Linked DNA regions of Astyanax mexicanus. The protein of the gene in region 1 purifies or fractionates together with the protein of each later gene. This does not show direct contact. Links are inferred from orthologs where the notes say so. Each region holds a gene or a part of one and is shown in the gene's direction. Other genes may lie near its edges.

Evidence for each region.
Region 2: the proteins of rpp30 (region 1) and pop7 purify together in Homo sapiens (co-immunoprecipitation; 4 studies listed by BioGRID and IntAct, counting the BioPlex papers as one, with this or other methods). This does not show direct contact. The link is inferred for Astyanax mexicanus from reciprocal best matches to the Homo sapiens genes RPP30 and POP7.
Region 3: the proteins of rpp30 (region 1) and pop4 purify together in Homo sapiens (affinity purification with mass spectrometry; 4 studies listed by BioGRID and IntAct, counting the BioPlex papers as one, with this or other methods). This does not show direct contact. The link is inferred for Astyanax mexicanus from reciprocal best matches to the Homo sapiens genes RPP30 and POP4.

The regions. Positions count from the first base shown.
Region 1 is NC_064422.1:25,766,683-25,774,452, forward strand, and holds the start of rpp30 (ribonuclease P protein subunit p30), read left to right. Parts: upstream 1-4,730; 5' UTR 4,731-5,004; coding exon 5,005-5,086; intron 5,087-6,486; coding exon 6,487-6,542; intron 6,543-6,639; coding exon 6,640-6,696; intron 6,697-6,783; coding exon 6,784-6,849; intron 6,850-6,946; coding exon 6,947-7,015; intron 7,016-7,241; coding exon 7,242-7,331; intron 7,332-7,636; coding exon 7,637-7,753; intron 7,754-7,770. Other genes in the region: kif20bb (kinesin-like protein KIF20B), read right to left, coding at 116-187, 288-399, 554-751, 851-911, 1,622-1,806, 1,901-2,039, 2,145-2,264, 2,383-2,472 and 1 more. UniProt on the Homo sapiens protein: Component of ribonuclease P, a ribonucleoprotein complex that generates mature tRNA molecules by cleaving their 5'-ends. Also a component of the MRP ribonuclease complex, which cleaves pre-rRNA sequences.
Region 2 is NC_064415.1:15,413,135-15,420,419, forward strand, and holds pop7 (ribonuclease P protein subunit p20), read left to right. Parts: upstream 1-4,202; 5' UTR 4,203-4,433; intron 4,434-5,514; 5' UTR 5,515-5,550; coding exon 5,551-6,006; 3' UTR 6,007-6,807; downstream 6,808-7,285. UniProt on the Homo sapiens protein: Component of ribonuclease P, a ribonucleoprotein complex that generates mature tRNA molecules by cleaving their 5'-ends. Also a component of the MRP ribonuclease complex, which cleaves pre-rRNA sequences.
Region 3 is NC_064430.1:24,491,823-24,499,237, forward strand, and holds the start of pop4 (ribonuclease P protein subunit p29), read left to right. Parts: upstream 1-4,383; 5' UTR 4,384-4,470; coding exon 4,471-4,477; intron 4,478-4,790; coding exon 4,791-4,843; intron 4,844-5,421; coding exon 5,422-5,645; intron 5,646-6,859; coding exon 6,860-6,937; intron 6,938-7,038; coding exon 7,039-7,100; intron 7,101-7,219; coding exon 7,220-7,321; intron 7,322-7,415. Other genes in the region: shcbp1 (SHC SH2 domain-binding protein 1), read right to left, coding at 474-682, 1,535-1,650, 1,912-2,127, 3,291-3,447. UniProt on the Homo sapiens protein: Component of ribonuclease P, a ribonucleoprotein complex that generates mature tRNA molecules by cleaving their 5'-ends.

The DNA.
Region 1 (7,770 bases):
AACTTATTTAAATATTGTGAGAAAATCAATTTGTTAATTCAGAATCAAACTGTGAGCAGAATGACTTGCTACACCACCTCTATCCACTACATTAGAAAAATAAATGTAGACTTACTCGCTTATTGTTTGGACTCGAGGAACGCACATATCTTCGATTCGCAGAATTCGGATGGAGAAAATACTATGACTAAAACAAGATAGACAATTTGAGTTACATTTTACATCACTTTATAAATCATTTCTGCTTGTTAAACTTCATAATAAACAAACAATAGTACAAACACTACCTTCTGCTGGAAACACTGTTGAGCTTTGTAGAAGAAAAGCTCTGATTTTTCCTCCCAATCTTCAAAACTCTGTAGGCTTCATCTGCACTGTTAACCTGAATCCATGTCAGATCTGTGGAAAAGTCAAAGAAGCAGTTCCAGTAAAAGTAAAAAAAAAAAGTATAGAGTATAAATCAAGTGTTTTAAAGTAAACACCTTAAAAAATGAATCTTTCACAATGTAAGCAGCAAAGAAGCACCAGACTAATCATCAATCTATCCACTTACCTTTGACAAACGTGTTGCCTTTGACATCTTGGCAAAGCCGAAGTACGCTCCTTCTCTGAGAACTACTCGAGGCAAAGTCAAGCAGATCATGTATGTTTTCATTGTAAATCTCACAGAAGGAGACCCAAACTGAGAACTTCACATGAGAGTCTTCCTCCAAACAAAGACTGTCTTCATTTAGATCACTGCAGCTGGAACCTACAAGTGAAGGAATAACCGAAATCACTGTCTATTGCCTTATCTAAACAAAAACTATAAATACATAATAACAACAACATAAATTTAAATGATTCTTACCCTCAAGCAGTGTGCTACAAGCAGAATTTGACATACTAGAGCTGCTTTTCTGCAGATCATTCTACAAAAAAGGAAGACAAAGGGCACATGTAAAATAAATAAATAAATAAATAAATAAAAAATGCATGAAAATGTACAAAAATTTATAATTAATTATTTCTATCAAGATATAAAATACCACACATCAAGAGGCAGCACTTTAAATGACAGTAATTTAAGTAAATATAAATACTATAATACTATAAATTACTATTGACTATATAACAATTATGCCCTCATCATTACACAATTATAAACATTCAAAACTAAGTTTGTTTGTTTTTTGTCTTCGTCACAGAACCTAAATAATCATATCAAATCAAGATGATGTTTTAAATTATGAAGAACTAAAGAGTTTTCTAATCAAATTAAAGCGTCAGCAGTTCAGAACCCTTATTAGTAGGGGTTAAGGAAAATATTGATAAACCAAATGTGTTGTGAAATTACATTTTGCAATACTGTACTGATTCTCAAAAACAAATTATTAAGAGTATATATTTATATTTTAAACCCTGAGTGCTAGATAGAAGTGTTGTACTCTTCAGATCCCACTGTTCTTGTAAACGTTTTTGCTCAGATTTTATAGTCGTGTGTTTTTAAACAATGACAGTGTTCCTAAAATTTGACTTTTTGAGATCACAATACAAAGTCTTGCTTACAGAATCACAATATATTAACTAATAACCGCTATATTGTGATATGAAAGAAAAACAAAATAATAATAAGTTATACCTCTTTATATCTTCTCAGAAGGTTTTTCTTAATTGTAGCCTCTGCATCCTGCTGATCCTTAGTCAGTCGAGTGAAGTCTATGCAGCGGTGGGGCTTGATGTTATTCTGAGTGTAGATTCTTCCCTCAATACTATTAAAGATCACTTTCAGTGACCTTGGCAGAATTCCCACATCGGTTTCAGGTCCTTAGAAAAAGATGCGGAAAATGGATTACATATATTATATAAGTTAACATTCCAATTAAAACAAAAATGAGACCTAAAAGAAAAAAAAACTCACCTAAAAATGTGAAAGTTTTCCCTGCATTAGTAACCCCATAGGTGAAAATCAGGGAATTTTGTCCTGCCAGAACATCTTTCACAAGAGCTTTTGTTGTTCCATCAAATATCTGCCTTTGTGTAGTTTCTGGACTATACACCTGCACAATATCATCAGTTTTAACAAAACATGATTAACACAGGGTTAAAGGTTTTTCACTGTGCCAGATTTTACAGGGTAGATGAACACTATTTAGACTGTGTACCTTTGAGAACTGAAATCTCTGTGCAATTTGAGGTCCTAGTTTCTCACTTTGCCTGGCTGTTAGAGATGATCTTGGAGCCTTTAAAACCACAGTGTCTGGAGACTCGATTGAAATGCAGTCCTAGTCAGGAAAATCACAGTTAAAAAAATATAATTACAGTTCTACCATCTGCTTACACTATTACAGTTATGCTTTGCATCTAAAATTTAACACCAGCTTATTATAAATATTTCGATACCTGTGATTCACCGAAATCACTCTCTGTGGAGGTAAAAGGGCGTATCCTGAGGTAGACCTGCAAATGCTCCCTCTCCAATAACACAGAGTCCTATAAAGCAAAGCATGGTTCGTTGTATAAAAAAAATGCAGATTTTGTTCTTAATTGTTATATACAAAGAAAAATGTAAAAGAAAATCTCAAAAATAATTTGTGAAATGTAACCAACAACAATAAAAAGGTAGTCATTTATTAAAATGGCTAAAACAGAATCAGGTGCACCGAAACAAAATGTGGGGCAAGATAATTTAATTGTTTTCTGTATATAATGAAAATCTACTTTATTTTGGCTCAATCTGATGGAAGATTCTGTACTTGACATTGAGCTAGACAATATAATAAATCTTTTATTGTGTTGCAATAAATATTTTTATTGTATCGACAATAAGCATATTGAGGATATCATCATTACTTAAAGAACAGCGACCAAACTGTACAGTTCATTACAGAGAGTGTAAATTGTATTGACCATGTGCAACCAAATATCCAGATGCAAGATGAGCAGCAAAAATTAAATAAGAATCAATGTACAGTGCATGAAAGAATATTTGACTAGGAGAATCTGATGCATTTTGTCTGCTTGAGTACTGGGTATTGTGAAAATGTCTTTAAACATTGTGATATAATATTGGTACCATATCACCCAGCTCTGTTGGTTTGTAATTACATACACCAATGGTTGTGGCTTTTATACGGTTAATATCAATATCAGAATTGTTATAGATGAAATATATTGTGATATTAGGGCTGGGCAATATGACCCTAAAATATCACCACCATATGTTAAGGTGTTTTTGAGATAGCAAACTTCTTGACAATAGGACAATTTATTCATTTAAAAATAAACTGCAGCAGAACTCATTTAAAATAAATTTTAAAATAAATCAAAAATAAATACATTATTTTATTTTCTACATTCAGTAGAGAGAAAAACATCTATAACCATTTGTCAATTTTGCAAACAGTAGCTTATCAATACTGATTTTGCATAAAACAAAATGTGACAAAAATAATAAACAATGTAGAAATAATAAAGCAATGTGGCCACAAAAGTGCAGCATATTTAGTGCATACATATAAACTGCAAACAAACAATCAAAACAAAAATAAATATGGTAAATATATAGCAAATCAAGCACCAATTAGACAGCTGTCAACAATACTGTATATATTATGATATGGAGTTTTTTCATTGTGTCTAAAATGTTGGAGATATTATTGCATATAATATGATACATCATAGCACACTCCTGCGTGATACAGATTTTTGCCAATTCATCCAGCCCTATTTTGACACCAACTGTCAAGGTTGAATTTCCTGGGACAGCTGGACCTGACTGATTTTATAGATAAAATTAAGATTAAATATCCATAAATATAAAGATCCATTAATATACTCTATAAGTCTTGACATGGATTGGTGGTAACACTTGGTGGTAACACTTGTATACAATGTAGTAAACTATACCAGGTCTAGTATTAGCTGTTACAGACAGAGACGATAAAAGATGAAGGTTAAGCAGGGAAACAATACCTGGGTTGTGGGTATTTTGGAGAATTCGACAAACAGATCTTTTCTCAGATCTTCCACAGTGACAGCTCCCACTCTCTCCGGTTTATAATTCAAGCTGGACTCCATGACTCTAAAAGAGACAAAGAGAAACAGACCTCAGTGAGGAACATCAACACGCTGCTGATCAGCATGTAACTAATGAATAGAGCAGTGTGAGTATACCAACGCTAAGTTACCTACCTTAAATAACGCTAAGACTTCCCTGATTAATCGTTGCTACCGCTGATAGACTGTATCCATAGTAAAAGAAGCGGAGTGTGATGATAAATTAGTTATTCATCTTATTATTTAACTAGCAAACCAAGCTAGCTTAAAACACAGTTGAAAGGACGTAACCTAGCGTAGCCAGCCTAGCTAACGTTAACCTGCGTCTATCCTACACGCTTCAAAAGCAGCTCAAATAAGCTAAAACGAACTAAAACGCATATTGGCTGTGTAACTACAGATAAACTAACACGCAACTATCCCTAGCAAGACTATTTAGCTAGTTTTAAACCGGTTTAAATCTAACCCTGTTCATAATATGTACCGAGCGCCTAGTTTAGTACTGTTGTGTTCACGGCTGCCGCGGTCCTCCGTTCAAATCGCACCAATCAAATTGCTTCCAGCGAGCCGCAGTGGCCGTTGGGACCGGAAGTCACGAAGATGTAGTTTTAAGCAGTTCGACTTGTGGTAAGATTTAATGGACTGATGTACACATATGAACTACAATTCCCAAGAGCAGCCATCAAAATCGCAAACCCACATGTTTAAACAGTGTCCATGCTTCAACAAGCTGTACCGCTCGCTAGCATTGTAAGTTAACTAGCTAGCTTAATAAGTTAGCAACGCTGCATGGCTACAAAATAATTACAATTACAATATTGCTAGAGAAAGCCTGTTCTCTGTCAGATATTACTCTCAGCATTATAAACCCATGTGTATATTTGTTTTTGGCTGTGTTGTAAGTAGCTACATTGGTTAGCTAGCTATCCTAGGTTAGATATCTAATTTGTATTTAAAAAAAGGAATATGTCTGTGTTTATGGATTTAAACATCACCGCTGGCACTGACAAGGCAAAGTTCCAGAGCACTATTGAGACCGCCGCTCACCGTAAGTTTCACTTTTAGACAGTTCACTAGTGTTACATAACGTATCTGGAACCACTGGGATTTTCAGTAGCGTTAGCGTGTTTTCTGACACATGAGCTCAACTTGGCTGGCAATGAAGCGCTAACTTGAGTTGAAGGAGGCGTGTTTGTTTGTAGGAAAATCCCTACACTCTGTAGGAATTCGACCTCCACCACTTGAGTCCCATTATACTGAGATAAAAATGATAATAAGTAAAACATTGTTTGTCTGTGTATTTCTATACAGATACAAACTATAACCAGGTGCTAAATATATAATATAGATGTAGTTTAATTATGCAGACGCTATAAAATCTGTGTAAAGTTCCTTAAAGCACTCTCCATTATTTGAACATGTACTGAACATCATCCTGAAAACATCACTAGAGGACAGTGTGTGAATCTGTGTTTGTTTACCTTTATATACAGCTCTTATATAAAAATAAATAAAATAAATATAAAAATAAAGAGACCACTTCAGTTTCTGAATCAGATTTTGCCATTTATAGTTATGTTTGAGTAAAATGAACAATGTTGTTTTATTCTATAAACTACAGACATTTCTCCCAAATTCAAATATAAATATTGGCATTTATTTGCAGAAAGTGAGAAATGGCTGAAATAACAAAAATATGCAAAATAGTTTTCAGACCTCAGATAATGCAAAGAAAACAAGTTCATATTCATAAAGTTTTAAGAGCTCAGAAATCAATATTTGGTGGAATAACCCTGGTTTTTAATCACAGTTTTCATGCATCTTGGCATGTTCTCCTCCACCAGTCTTACATGCTGCTTTTGGTTTTGGATTGCTTGTGATCATTTGTTTTCCTCTTGAATGTGTTCCATATGTTTTCAATTTGGTAAATTTAAAGAAACTCGTCATTTTAAATGGTCTTTTAATTTTTCCCAGAGCTGTATATATATTAAAGTAGCTTAACTTTATTGTCATTATAATGTACAAGTACAAAGCAATGGAATAATTTAGGTTTAGAATCTAACAAGAAGTGCAATAGCAGCAAAATATGCTTAATATAAATAGGTATGGATGAATATGAATATGGTAGTATAAATATGTTTTACAGAATATTTACAATGATTAAGAGATTGAAAAGACAATGGATTATGGTGTACAGATTTACAGTGTATATTACAATAGGAGGGTATAAACTGTTTTTTTTTTTTATAGATACAGCGATGGTAAACGAAATATTGATATATATATATATCGATATTTTCTTACACGATACACTACTATCCATGTATCATCCACTGTTATTTACAGATAAGGTAATTTATAGTAATAGTTATTATCCACAGATGAGGTAGTAGTTTATTGTGAGGTAGTTATCAGTAACACTGAACTGCAGGTTTCTTTCTCTTTCAGTTGGCTACTCCACAGTTGCAATAAATTATGTAGTGGAGGGGCAAAAGAAGAAACAGGTATTTTACCTCACCAAACGTCTTCAGAATGCTATTAACCCGATTCATTATTTCTCAGCTAACTTCGTTCTCATGTTTGTGTTGATGTTGAATGCAGCTAATTCCGACTCCGCAACCCTTAGCAGAGCTCTTTGAGACGTTTCCAACAGTACAGGTAACTTTACAAAATCTCACTATACACAATCTATGTGGGAGTCTTTTTTTCTAGTTTTCTAATTTCTGCACTCTCGTTCACATGTAGGGAAAATCCAGACCTATTAAAGTGCTGAACCGATTGACAGTTGTGGCCACAGATGCCTCTCACTTTGTAAGTGCAATTGAAATACTAAGTAATCATGTTGTTATGAACTGCAGTCACAGAAATCTGATTTTTAAACTGATTATATTTGTGATATTTACTGTAGAGGCCTACTAATGAATACAAGAATTTTGACCTTTTGGCCGTTCATCCCAAAACAGACAAACTCTTCCATGTAAGTTCAACTTTTTCTGTAAATATGTAAATTTATATTGTTGTCCCCTCTAAATATTTCTTCTCTTTGTTTAGTTCTGTAATATCCTGCAACTTTACTTTGTCTTCCAAAATGACAAACATGATGTTGTTTTTTTCTAAAACTCTGCTGAAACTGTACATGCATAATGATGTGGATTATATATAAAAAGTTTTATTTATGTGTGTATTGTGTGTTATTGCAACAGGCAGCCTGCATGAACTATGATGTGGATATTATCTGCATATCAGCCACTGAACCACAGTCCTTCCATTTCAAGAGGTCACCGGTAAACGGGGTGAGTAGAAATGTAAAATATTACTTTATTAATATATAGCTTTGGTTACACTATATGCTTACTACATTGTAGTGTGTGTGTGTGATCTGATTCTCTCTAGATAACCTCAATAAAAAAACTAAAAAGTATTTGAGACTAAGTTATAGAAAATGTTATTCTAAAATTAATTTAATATTAATATAATATAATATTATATAATACTATTTTTTTTATTGCCATAATTATATGAAATTAACTTAAAATAAAATATCATATTACAAATGTAAGAATTGTGAATTTGTGCTCTTCTCTGTTGATTCTCTAAGGCTATTGAAAGGGGAGTGTTCTTCGAGATAAGCTACTCAGCAGGCATTAGAGACCCCACCATGAAGAAGTACACCATCACAAATGCCGTCAATCTAATATCTGTGTGCAAGGGAAAGGTAATGTAATATACCAT
Region 2 (7,285 bases), on another chromosome or scaffold:
AGAGTTAGAGAAGGTGATAGAAAGAGACCACATTTTTTTTTTCAACATAAAACTTTTAATACATTTAAAACAAGTAAGTTAACTACATAGTTACTCAGCTAGGACAGCTGCCTTTCTCGTTATATTAAGGTTACACATTCATATAAGAAAAAAAGAAATGGCTGTGCATATCGACAGAGCTTTGGCTAAGATTAGGTAAAACAGCTCCAATACAAACTTTTGTATACGGAGAGTAAGATAAAGTAGATTGGATTAAAGTAAATTGGATTTGACTGATTAATTAGTATTTCCACCTTAAATGGATCGGCAGTTCAAAGCCTGGACAGACTGTAACGTATCTAGCTGCTGCAGAATTTAAGGTGGAAAAGAAAGTTGGAATAAGGAACTGAGCAAAAGAAGCACACGAGAGAGAGAGAGAGAGAGAGAGAGAGAGAGAGAGAGAGAGAGAGAGAGGTGTATTCGCATGTGAGCGTATTTCTGTATTTAGACCACATTTCTTTTTTTAAAACAAAAAAAGTAAATCATTCAGAGAGTGGACAGACCATAAAATATATACATTCAAAACAAGTTAACTCAGTTACCTAATTAGCTACTTAGGCTCGTCATATTTAGGTTAATAATTAATATAAAGAAACTAACAGCTTCCACACAAACATCTGTATACGGAGAAGAAGATGACGTTTAGTTTTAAATAGATTGGTCTTATAACTACTCGTTCCACCTTAAATTGTGCAGTTGTTAGTTATATTTTGTAATACACTAACAGCTAGGTAGGTTGGCTGCTGAAGAATTTAAGGTGGAACGAAAAACAAACTGAGCAAGCAGATGCAAACGAGAGAGAGAGAGACTGAGAGAAGGGGGCGGTGTATTCGCATGTGTATGGGAGTTCCTGTATTTAGAGCAGCAAGACCATGTATTCTCCACAAATGTAACTTTTCAACATCAAAAATGTACATTTTAAAACAAGTTAGCTAGCTAACCAAGGATGGTTACTCTGGGGCAATAAGCTATGCTTGTCTGTAGCGCTGCTTGGATACAGTATTTAGGTTAGGTAGTTAGCAAACCAAGCTAAGCTAACTAGTTAGCTAGCTAGTTAGGTTTGTTATTGGACAACACATTCAAACCTTAAATTAAATCTAACTACACAGTTAGTGTACACACCCTCCACAGTGGTACACACTCCTCATTTCCCCACCTTTCCCCTTGTTGTTTCACAGACCACCCGTCCTACTGAACTCCTCTGCTCACCGTGGCCTTCAACCATGGCCAAAGCTCAGTCAGCTACAAACACAACCCCCACCCCCTTTACCTAGCCAGCTTGAAAAGCACCAACGCCGTCTCCATTATCCACACCCCCTTAGCCTTAGACAGGGCTTTGCTATTTAGCTTACCGCCTTCTTCATGCCAATGTTAGCCCACTGCACGGATGACAGGAAGACCCCAGAGTGCTCCACCAAATCTGTAACAGATCTAGCTAGCTAACCTAGCTAATTTAGCTTAGCTAGCTAACCTAGCTCTCTCATACCAGCCAACCCAAAAACATTCAAGGAGAGGAGGGGCTCTCTCTCACCTTAATTTCTGGAGCTAGAGATGCGTATTATTTCCAGTCGTCTGGGCTCCTGCGCATGTGACCGTGTGGTCTCTGGCTGCCGACGTGCTTGTCCTCAATAATCGCGTTATAATCCGCATCAAACCGCGTGTAATATGTACATAAAATGTGTCCTGCTCTCTCTCTCTCCGACGCTGCGCTGCTGCTAGCTCGTCTGCTCGCTACTCTTGTTGTTTGTGTTTTAGGAAGATGGCCGTTCTGCTCGGCGGAGACCACGTGACTCCGTGGCGACTGACTGGAGTAACATATGAAACCTGTCTGAGGGGGGTTGCAGCGCCCCTGGCGGCGTGTGCAGGCAACTACACGTGGTCACATATTCATTATCAAGGAAAGTTAATTTTTATTGTCAATACTGCATATTAGAGGTGTGCCAAAAAATCGATTCACATAAGAATCTTGATTCTCATTTACTACGATTCAGAATCGATTTAAAATGTCCCAAAATCGATTCTGAGGGGCGGGTTTTAGACTGATTTTGGGCTGGGTATTTTTGTTGGACCTGGCAACCCTGGGGATAGCGCTTGTCCTTTCAAACGGAGATCTTCCAGACACACACAGAGCGTAGGTGTTTGAGAATCACCGGTAAGATGGCAGAACAAGCACTATATTACATTAGATTAACGTGTAGTTTCAATGTTTTATGGCAGAATGCTTCATAACAAGCATAAAAAAGATCGCTAGTAGTTAGTTTCAGTAACTGTTAGCTAGCTAACTAGCTAACTTTCCAGTTCCACCTTAAATAACGCTACAGGTGGCAGCGGGCTGCAGCATTTAAGGCGGAACGGAAAAATACAATAAGCTAATCAGAGCTAATTTCAGCTCCTCATCACAGAGGAATTAAGGAATGGACCATATGAATTAATTTCTCCACCTCCTGCCCCCTTTCTGAAGAAATACAACGACCTTAAATTAACTAGTTAATCAGCAGCTGCTCCTGAACTTTAGCGCTCCACTGCTATCATCACATCAGCCCAGCAGCGTCACCTACACACCACCGCTAGTAGCCTGGTAATAAAGCAGTGTTATTTATTATTTATTTATTGTTCATTAACGTCATTGTGATATCCCAGTGATTCCTCTGTCACTGAGGACCCACATTCCTGCACATTTTATTGTTTTTGTAACACATTACCTGCTCCAGGACCAGTGTATATTATGGAGGGTTTTTTTTCAATAAGATTCATAAGCCAGAAGCAGAAATTTTTATAATTCAAATCGTTTTGAATCAAAAATCGATTTTGAATCGAATCGTGGCCCCCAAAATCGGAATCGAATCGAATCGTGAGATAGTAAACGATTCCCACCCCTACTGCATATGGACAGGACATACAGAGGATTAAAATTACGTTACCATCCTTCCCAAAGTTACAACAGGTACAGCAGAATAAAATTATAAATATAAAAGAATGAGACACTAATACTAATACTAGTACAATACAACAAGGCCAGATATATAGACATACGTGAGACAAGAGTTCAAGTTTAAGTAAGAGTAGACAAAAGTACAGAAATATAATATTATAAATAATAAAAGAATGACACTAATTGTACAATACAGCAAGGTCACATATACAACTTAAAAATTATGGGTTTTTTTTGCCTTTACCAAATTGAAAAACTCTGGAATATAATCAAGAGGAAATGGACGATCACAAGCCATCAAACCAAGCTGAACAGCTTGAATTTTGCACCAGGAGTGGCATAAAGTTATTCAGAGGCAGTCTGGAGGGGAACATGCCAATGTGCATTAAAACTGTGATTAAAAAAACAGGGTTACTCCACCAAAGATTTCTGAATTCTTAAAACCTTATGAATATGAACTTGTTTTCTTTGCATTATTTGAGATCTGAAAGCTCTGCATCTTCTTCTCATTTTCTGCAGTATGATTTATTTTTTTTTTTTTGGAATTTGGAAGAAATGTTGTCTGTAGTTTACAGAATAAAACAAAAATGTTAATTTTACTCAAACATCTACCTATAAATAGCAAAATCAGATAAATTGATTTAGAAACTGAAGTGGTCTCTTAATTTTTCCAGAGTTGTATAGACACACGTTAGACAAGAGACACACAATAGTGCAATATAAAATGACAGTGTACCAGTTGGTTTGAAAGGGGTGGGGGGTCACAGTCGTAGGGGGAATTAAGTGGCTATGATTGATCAGTGCAAGTATAGGCAGTAGTGCAGGTTTGGGGTGTGTGAGTGCATATCAGTTCCTGAAAAAGACTTCCACTACTGTTTTGATTCAAGTACTATGTTCCAGTATTGTGTTGATAAGAGTGCGGTCAGAATTGACCAGATTTTAGCTGGTATAGTGAACAAGTGCATAATGCACATTCTTTCAATTGCACAGTTGTAGGGATAATTAAAGTGAGTATGACAGTGCAAGTATAAGCAGTAGTGTCAGTATGGGTATGTGAGAGCACTGTATTACATATATTACATGTATTAGAATATAATCAGGTGCTCTGCTCTAGGGGAGCGAGCGACCGCTGATCTATAAGACATGTGCGCCACGCGGTAATTAGGCGCATTGCCGCTGAATCCCCATCACACTGCTTATACATCTGTACAGAGCGCGTCGTAGGCGCAGGTACTCAAACAGAGACGGCTGTTTGAATGGCGATTTGCTCCACCGGGTAACATTTTACATTTACAGCTGTATGTCTGTGACTCACTGGTTGTTTTGCAGTCACTATTTTACTATTTTAAATACAGACGTCCCTAAACACACGAGAGACAGACATCACTTCCGGTAAAAAGCTGGTAACACATCCGGCATCTTCTACAGTGAGGCGGTGTGACGAGCCCCCAGAGCAGAGCAGGTACCTGTTTATTACATTGTTTTTGAATGTTTATTTGAATCAGAATCTGCAATTAGGTGTACGATGTTGCAGGTTGATTCAATGTAAAGAGCGAGAACTGGAGTGTAGTCTATATTCCACGTGTTTAGACTCCTCGCCATGCTTTCCAGTGTACGGGTGGGTGGTCAGTGAGTGACAGACTAGCTAGTCCTTCAGTCCTTCAGCAAACACTGAAATACACCCTATTTAATATCATACACGAGATAGCCTCACAACTAACAGCTAGCTAACACTGCTGCAAAGACTGCTGCTTAAGATGGTGATTCTGGTTAGATTAGGTTGTGGTGGAAAGGCTGATTGATCATGTTTCTGTGACAGAGGATGTTTTTTTTTATAGATTTTTGCTGTCTGTCTATCTGTCTATCTCTCTCTCTCTCTCTCTCTCTCTCTCTCTCTCTCTCTCTCTATGTATATATATATATATATATATAAGGAAAGGCTGATTGATCATGTTGTATGTCACAGGATGTTTTGCCATCCATCACTTATTTTTATCCCAACCTTCTCTAGTAGAATTGTCCCTGTGTTCACTGTGGCATTGTTTCGATAAGCTTCTGTAATGTCACAAGATTTATTTTAATCCAGTACCCAAAGCCTTCTTCAGCACATCCCAAAGATTCTCAATGGAGTTAAGGTCTGGACACTGTGGTGAACAATCCATGTGTGAATATGATGATCTCATGCTCCCTGAACCACCCTTTCACAATTCCTGCCCAATGAATCCTGGCATCATATTATTTTACTCCAACACTGGATATATTGAGAGCATTGTTAGTATCATTACATGTTGTATTGTTCACTTCAATTAGGGATTTTTTTGTTTTCATATCAACAAGAACATAATTGCAAAAGCTCCCAGAATATCCCACCCCACCCAGGCCCACTCCATCTAAATATTTATTGTTTATCTAATGGTAAATTTAATATACATCTTCTTTGATATTAAATGTTTAATTGTCAGTACATGTGTGGATTAGGAGTAAACAATACTTTTTAAAAAGACATTGTTAATCGTTAAATTGCTCTATGTTTCCATTGTCAGATTTAATCTCTGCTGATCCTCTTCAGAAGCCCCGAGATGGCAGATCCACGAAGTCAAGTCCCAGGTTCGGTGTCTCAGAACCCACTAGGTTTTTCAACACCTGAGGGCAACACTGTTGAGATGGACCCAGTGGAATACACCCTCCGCAAACGGCTGCCCAGAAAGCTGCCCAAGAGACGCAACGATGTATACATTAACATGAAGACCGACTTCAAGGCCCAGCTGGCCAGGTGTCAGAAACTGCTGGATGGCGGTGCTGGTCACAAGGAAATCTGCATCCACGGTCTGGGACTCGCCATTAACCGGGCCATTAACATCGCACTGCAGCTGCAGGCTTTCAGCCAGGGGGCACTGCAGCTGGCTGCGAACACCTCCACGGTAGAGCTAGTAGACGATCTGGAGCCAGAAGACCCAGATGAAGCTGGAGAGCCACTAACACGAACAAGGAACAACTCGGCTATCCACATTAAAGTGTTTTACCCCAATGCTTAGAAAGTTACAGTCAGCTACACAAAATCAAATATTATTAAAAAGGGAAAGAAGGAAATCCATCACCATAGAGGGATAATCTGACCTTTAATTTCATTAATAGCTACTGAATGTTAAGACTTTTCAATTGAATCATTTGGGATTAAATTCTTAAATAATACATGGCTTGGATGTGCAGTTTAAGGACAGTATTAAAAATATTTTTTGAGAGCCTTTACATAATGTGAAGATCAGTAAAAACAAATTCTGTCAGCACTTTATTTGGCCAAAAAAGTTTTGAGATATGTTTAAGGGTGCGAAAGATTAATATTTCTAAAATGCAAATCAGTTTGTGTCCCTATATATTTTTTGGGTTATTTTGCCAAGTGAAAGAACCTAGGAGTTGTTCACACATCTAAATTGGAATCAGTAAATCGATTAGCCCTGATATGAGAGAGCCTGGTATGGAAGTAGCTGACCCAATATTATATTCTACCCACTTGTCTTCTTATGGCACTGGAGGAGAACATTAGATCAGTGCTTTGATGTATGTCTGTGAAACTGCTCATGAGGTCATTCATATGTGTAGGTGTTTGATATTTTGATAAAACTTGAAGAAAATAGAACATTTTGTATTAATGTGCTGTCCACAAGTACAAAATATTATTTAAGGTGCCTATGCATGTTGTTGTATTGTCTGAAACAGTTTGTGTTCGTTTGTGAACATACTATATTTTTAAGTCTTATTTTCACTGTTTGAGAAGCATATTCAGATTTATTTTCTGATGTATATGTGTGTAAATAAAACACTAACACATGCTTGCATATCGTTTGTGATATTTTTTTAGCTTGTGCTGTCCACTTGAGGGCAGTATAGCGTCTATTATTTTTGCAAGAATACAGATGCTTGCATCTGTCCAGTGTCTTTACCCCTCGACTTATGGTGTGCATAGTCTTTAAGAGCACTAGAAGCTGGACTGGATTGATTTACACAGTCATGGCCGTTTTGGCCCCCCAACGTGTTTCCAGAAAAAAGATATTTTTTCCAAAAAAATCTTCTTTGTGTGTATTAAAAACAGAAAAAGCCAAAATGTATTATTTCACAAAGAATTACAAAATAGGGCCAGACACAATTATTTGCACCTTTTTAAAATAATGCTCGTTTACATTCACGTGTGGCCAGTAACAGGTTTGGGCACAATACAATCATACGAATAGAAAGTAGAAAACTGAATTTCAAGGTTTTAAATCCATCCCCACAGATCTTGATGTTCCTTTGTCCACAGTGCCCAACATAATTAAG
Region 3 (7,415 bases), on another chromosome or scaffold:
GCACTATTGAGGTAAATGCATGATTAGAATACCATTCTAAGGTAAATTCATGATTAGGACAGCACTACTCAGGTAAATTCAGGATTAGAACAGCACTACTGAGGTAAATTTAGGATTATAATAACACAGTTGAGGAAAAAGTGTTTTGTTGGTATTTATGCCAGGATGTAAAAAAAATAAAAAATAAAAAATAAAAAAAAAAGAAAATAAAAACGTTGGTCAAACATTCAAGAATTTTGATTATTAAAACCTTTTCTAGTTCAATTTAAGCTTCTACCATTCCATTCTTTTTTAGTATAAACTCTAAATATGTTACCACTGGTACAGATTTATATCTTCATCCACTGATTTTAATGTGATTTCTATATGAATTGAAATGGTTACTCCTTATTGCATAACTCCAACCATCTCCATGTGCCTTCCATGTAGAGTGTGTGGTTATGTGTGTGAGTAACTGAGTAAGAGAGCTGAACCTGAGATGTTCCAGAGCGAGAGCTGTCTGGTCGAATTCTCCGGATTCATCATAAACCACATGGAGCTCCTGCAGCGGGACTTTATTCTGCTTGGCCTCCAGTAACGTCTTCACCGAGTCCTCAGTGAGGTCACAACCTCGATACTCGCACTGCAGGGGCTCCACTAGCTCCACCTTCCCCTTCAGCTCCTTATAGTCAACATCCACCACCTGCAGAACACATGAAGACATGCATGAGTGAGTCTGGTGTGAAAGAACTTGACTGGTCTGCACAGTCGAGTCCTGACTTCAACCTGATGGAACACCTCTGGGATGGATTAGAATAGAGACTGATAACCAGAGCTTCCCATCCAACATCAATGTCTGACTTCACGAATGTATTTGTGGAAGAATGAGAAAAAATTCCATAAACACACTCCTAAACCTGTGTAAAGCCTTTCCAGATGAGCTGAAGCTCTTATAGCTGTAAAGGTTGGGCTGAGATCATATTAAACCCTATGGATTAAGAAAAGGATGTCACTCAAGTTCATATAGCTTTAGAAAAAAATAAAAAGACCACTTCAGTTTCTAAATAGGTTTCTCTGATTTTGCTATTTATGTTTAAGTAAAATTAACATTGTTGTTTTATTCTATAAACTACAGACAACATTTCTCCTAAATTCCAAATAAAAATATTGTCATTTAGAGCATTTATTTGGAGAAAATAAGAAATGGCAAAAATAACAAACAAATTGCAGAGCTTTCAGACTTCAAATAATGCAAAGAAAACAATATTCATATACAATGTTCACATTCATAAAGTTTTAAATGTTTAGAAATCAATATTTGGTGGAATAACTCATGTTCTCCTCCACCAGTCTTACACTCTGCTTTTGGATAACTTTATGCTGCTTTACTCCTGGTGCAAAAATTCAAGCAGTTCAGTTTGGTGGTTTGATGGCTTGTGATCATCCATCTTCCTCTTGATTATATTCCAGAGGTTTTCAATTTGGTAAAATCAAAGAAACTAGTCATTTTGTGTAGGTGTGAAAAGGCAGACGAGCAAATACTCTTTGCACTCACTTCAACTAGAACATCAACCATGTCAGTGTGCCACAGCGCCTGCCAATCACATGGCTCCACCACCTTCTCCAGGTAATCCGCAGTGAACTCCTGCACCTCTGAAGGTTTACAGTCGCCTGCAGCAGACAGACAGAGACAGAGATGGGTGAGGAGAGGTTTCAGAGGTCTAATGGAGGTCAAACATTTATATTTTAGATATTTTATATACTTTATATATTATACCTCAGGGAATTTTAATATAATATTTTAAAAAGTATTATATATACTGTATTTATCCATTTGCTGATCTATTCAGTATAGAGATCAGCAGATGTGATTATGAACATAATAAACAGTGACACATCTACAGATGATGAGGTTAATATGCAGCGAGTTACCGAGCATGTAATCCTGATAGGCTTTGAATCTCTCGTAGAAAAGCAGATGGTTGGTTTGGAAGATGTGAGGCAGCCCCGCGCTCCCGAACGCCTCGGCCCGCTGTAAATGTGTGCACAGCTTTTCATCGTTAGACAGCCCATCTGTGCCGCTGTCATCTTCTTCATCGTCATCCTCGTCATCCTCCTCTTCATCGTGCTCGTCATCCTGAAACATCGCTACAGAGGAAAGAGTTCCCATCACTTACAGCGATATATCATCACTATACCTGCGTTTTACCCATAGAAATGTTCACTTTCTGAATGAAATTCTGCAGAATTTTTACTGTTATCCCGCTCTGTGCTTATGGAGACATTATTAAGGATGGATCAATTTGTCAACATAACTGGCCACATAAACAGTCATTTGTAACTGCACTTTGCTACACACAGTACCACAGTTAATGGTTTTATAGTTATGTTTTATTTTTAAGTTTTCATGGTCATAGTTATGTTCATGGCTCATACATGTTTTAACCAATACATTTTCATGATTTTTCAAGGGACATTTTCATGACCATATGATTTTTAAAACATCAGTGCAGACACAAAAACAAAATTGAAGATAGTAGGCCTAAAATGAATCTGATAAAAATGTTGACACTCAATCTTTAATAATAAAATGCGTGTCAGATCCTGAGAGCTCTACTCTATAAGGCTAAATTACTGAATTAACTCTGAGCTGATGTATTTGTAGCTCAAAATAGCTTTTCTCCTTCAATAAACTGAAACATAAAGGATTTGTGGACAAGGTTTTCAGGACTTTTCCAAAACGTTCTAGGTCTTTTTTATTTTTCCAAAACTAATCAATCCTTGGAAATTGCTATTTTTGAATTTCATGACTTTCCCAGGTTTATCATGACCGTATAAAGTGATTTAGTTAGCTAGATAGATAGTTAACTAAGTTAGTTAGTTAGTTAACTAGTGATTTAGTTAGATAGATAGTAACTAGTTAGTTAGTTAACTTGTCAGTTAACTAGTTACCTAGGTAACGTTAGTTAGTCAACTAGTTAGGTAGCTAGTTAGTTTGCTTGTTATTTAAATACTTATTTAGGTAACTTTAGTTAGTTAGTTTGCTAGGTTAGTTAGTTAGTTAGTTCATTAATTAAATAATAACTACTTATTTAGTTAGCTAGGTTAGTTAGTTAGTTAGTTAATTAATCAATCACTTAACGTTACTTATAAGTAAGCTAGCTAACGTTAGTTTGTTAACCTCGTTAGCTGGTAAGTTAGTGCTAGCTAAGTTGTTGTGTTAAACCGCTGGCTGTATCTCTAAGCTGTCTCACTGACACTTCGCTGTACTGCATTAGTTTCTTAGTAAATCAGTAAGTCGGTTCTGGTACCTCTGGGTAAGAGTCTGGGCGCCGGTTTTGGTTCAGGTTCTGGCTCTGGCTCTGGTTCTGGCTCTGGGTCGGTCTGGTCCGGTTGTTGCTGTTGATCATCCACCGGCCGCTGCTCTCCACCCTCAGATACACACACTCCACCGCCCTCAGCCTTCATCTCAAAAACACTCAACTACAATCTAAATACTACAAATAATCAACTAAATATATAAACACGCATATAAACCCGTAACTGTGTAAAAAGTGTGAATTTAAATTAAATAAAAATAACTAAATAACTGAACTCTCCTCACTGCTCGCTTCAAATCAGCTGCATTCAAATCCACCCTGCAAACGCGCGGACAAATAGAAAGTGGCGTCCGGTGACAGCGGACCAATAGAGAGCGGTTTCGCCCAAGAGGGGGCGGGGCTTTTGTAAAAGACGTGGATTTTATAGAAATAAAAAAAATAAAATTAGAAAATTATAAATAAAATTATTAATAAAAGATTGTTTTTGTCTATGTGTATTACCTTGCGATTTTTTTTATTTTTATTTGCTTTAAATATAGTGTAGTTTTGACATTTTTTGTCCAATTTTGCACCATAATTTGATGCAAACAACTTTTTACTAAATGATCTAGATCAGAATAAATAAAATATTTTCTTTGTTTATACATACCTATAATGTTACATAAAATACCTGAAACATATGCTTTTTTATTTTTAAAGGGGACAGACTTTAAAACTCAAAAACTGAAAAAAATGTTTTACTATACACACAAGTTTACACTTCAAAATGTATTAAATAAAAAGATGTTAAATCTCTAATTTGAAATAATTTTGTAGCTTTACGGAGTGGTAAGTATTTTTTATTATTATTATAAAAAGGTTTAATGCCGTTTATAACATTATAGGACATCTACACCTCAGAAAGTCTTTTGTAAAAAACATAAATACATTAGTATACAGAGGTCTAAATAAAAAATGATTTTTATTAACTATAAATTTAGACATTTTAGAAATAATTTTGAGTAATTTATAACATTTATAACCAAAATGTATTTTAAAAAAGGACATAAAACACATGTACTGTAGAAATGACTGAATCAGGGAAGCTGCGGTTGATTACTCAGGTCTCACGTACCGGACTTGGCGATCGGTGATCGGCTTTCAGCACTGGGGGAGCCGGTGTGGATCCAGCATGGCGGGTAAGTGTGGATTATTATTGTATTAATAACATTAATAACAGGTTTATTAAAGCGACGCGCGGTTGTTAGTGAGTGTTGTGTGTTGTAAACCGAGTCTTCCTGCTGAACTGAGTCTAAATAACCAATCCAGGGCTGTTGTTTCCCCAGATAACACTAAACGTTCCTCTAGCATTAGATTTAGGTTCTTTAAGGTTCGTTTTTGTTTTATTTTTTGTTAAAGTCACTGAACACTAAACTATATGTTTTTAACATAATAGCTGAAATGTGTTCCTTTGCCGGTCATTGCTGTTTTTTGTTCTTTTCTTGTTCACAGAAGCAGCGTTTTCCAGTATTCCTCCAGAAGATGGTAAACTTCTAGGAGTTCAGGTGAGAGTTCTTTTCAGGTTCTGACTGATTTGCTCTATTTACAGTAAACCAATAAGTCCAAGCTATTTGAACCGCTATTTATAGGTTTATGTTTGAGTAAAATGAACATTGTTGGACAACATTTCTCCCAAATTCCAAATAAAAATATTGTCATTTAGAGCATTTATTTGCAGAAAATGAGAAATGGTTGAAAAAAACAAAAAAAGATGCAGAGCTTTCTAATCTCAAATAATGCAAAGAAAACAAGTTCATATTCATAAAATTTTAAGAGATCAGTAATCAACATTTGGTGGAAAAACCCTGGGTTTAATCACAGTTTTCGTGCATCTATGCATGTTCTCCTCCACCAGTCTTACATACTGATTTTGGATAACTTTATGACACTCCTGGTGCAAAAATCTAATCAGTTCAGCTTGATTTGATTGCTTGTAATCATCCATCTTCCTCTTGATTATATTCCAGAGGTTTTCAATTTGGTAAAATCAAAGAAACTTATCATTTTTAAGTGGTGTCATATTTTTTCCAGAGCTGTATATAATAAAAAAACAATGTTGGCCTGTGTTGTGTTGTGTGTTCAGTCTCAGCCTGGCACGGCTGCGGAGAAGTTCACCAATGCGTTCCTGAAGAGCAGCCTGCCGCAGCTGAAGGGCGAGGAGATCGAGAGCATGATGCTCCGCCAGGCTGTGATCCTGCAGTACGCCAGACCCAACAGAACCCGGGGAAAGAAGACCAAAGCTAAAGGACTCAACGCTAAAGAACGGCGGGAGCTAAAAGTGTTCCAGCTGAAACCCGAGCATCAGAAGTGTGTACCACATCTCATCACAACATCACACCACATTCCTGCATCAGCAGTGCAGATTAATGCAAAAATCAGGACCCCTCACATGAAGTGACTTGGCTCCAGTCAGGGCTCCAGACTAACTTTATTCTCAACCGTCCCAGAACCATCTCAAACTGAAAATTATCTGTCCCATAACAATACAAAAACAAATACAATAGTAATGTGAAAAATTATATATATTTAGATGTTTATTCTATGTATCTATGTTTACATTTCTATTGTATTTGTGTATTTTACTACCATAATGTCATCAGTTGTTTGGACAGTCTGTTTGAGTTATATATATATTTGTGACTCCTTAATGTCAAGTTATTATATTATACAGAGACACAATTATATTTTATTTTCAGTTAGAAACTTTTTTTCAACTAGTGGAATTATACTTAGAATAAAATTAAAAACACAGTTCCTTACAATATGTCTGCTCATCTTAAAAGTGCAGTTTTGCCATTAGCCAGCAATTGACGCTTTTTCCCCTGATTCATTTTGCCCATTTTGAAGCTCCCAAGTTGACTGACATGGCAATACACCCACCACAATTAAGAAATGTATAGAACACAGTTCCTTAGGATATGTCTGCTTATCTTAAAAGTGCAGTTCTGCCATTAGCCAGCAATTTTGCCACTTTTGAAGCTCCCCAGTTGACTGACATGGCGATCCACCAACCACAATTATTTCTTTAGAGGCTTTCCCCGCTAGTGCCACATTGGCCTTCCTCCTCTTGTGGCTTTTCTAGCAAGCTGATTGTTCGTAAAAAAGAATATACTTTAACATGCTAAGCAATAGGAAAAGTCCCAGTCATACTTCAACCAGCAGGCAGTTTTCTCAAAAACGGCTTGAAACGGCTTTGTCGTCAGGACGCTGGGACTGTGTTAGTCTAGAGCCCTGTGAGTGTAAATAAGTCTCTCTGTAAGGAATTTTGACTCAAGAACACATGATGTTTCCAAACGTTTGCACTTTTAGACTGTATTTAACTAGAAATGTAATGGTTGGGATGTTCAAGAAGTCCCCACTGGTTGATTGCTATGTTGTTGCTAGGTAACTGCTGTAGAAAGGCTTGGTTGCTATGGTGTTCCAAGTGGTCGACAGGTGTTGTTGCAAATTGCTTTGCCATGTATAACTATATTAATAGACTAAAGTAAATATTATAACTATTTCCGGTTCTGATTCTGCAGGTATGAGCTGTTCCTGCCGCTACATGTGCTGTGGAAACAGTACATAATCGATCTGTGTAACGGACTCAAACCTGGCAGGTGATAAATATCAATATATATTTATATATGATAGTTTAAATTCTGATACTGTAAGTCTGGCTCTAATTCCTGCAGTGTTTAATCTGTAACATCTACCACAGCAACCCACAGACCATCCAGCAGAAGCTCCTGAAGGCTGATTTCCACGGTGCAGTTTTAACAGGTTAGTGGACGCTCCTCAACTCTACACTCTACAGCTCTCTCAGATTCTGATCAAATATCATCAATATATACGGGAGGATTACCCAACATTTATTTGTGTTTCATTATTTTGTCTTGCAGTGGTCCGATCAAAATGTCCATCTTATGTTGGGACCACTGGAATCCTGGTGCAGGAGCTGAAGCACGTCTTTAAGATCATCACCAAAGAAGACAGACTGAAAAGTAAGACAATACTCCAGTGCTGTGGTCTTCCAGATCCACAATGTCCCAGTCCAAAAAAAATATGTTTCTCTAGTCCTACATTCCCAGTTATTTA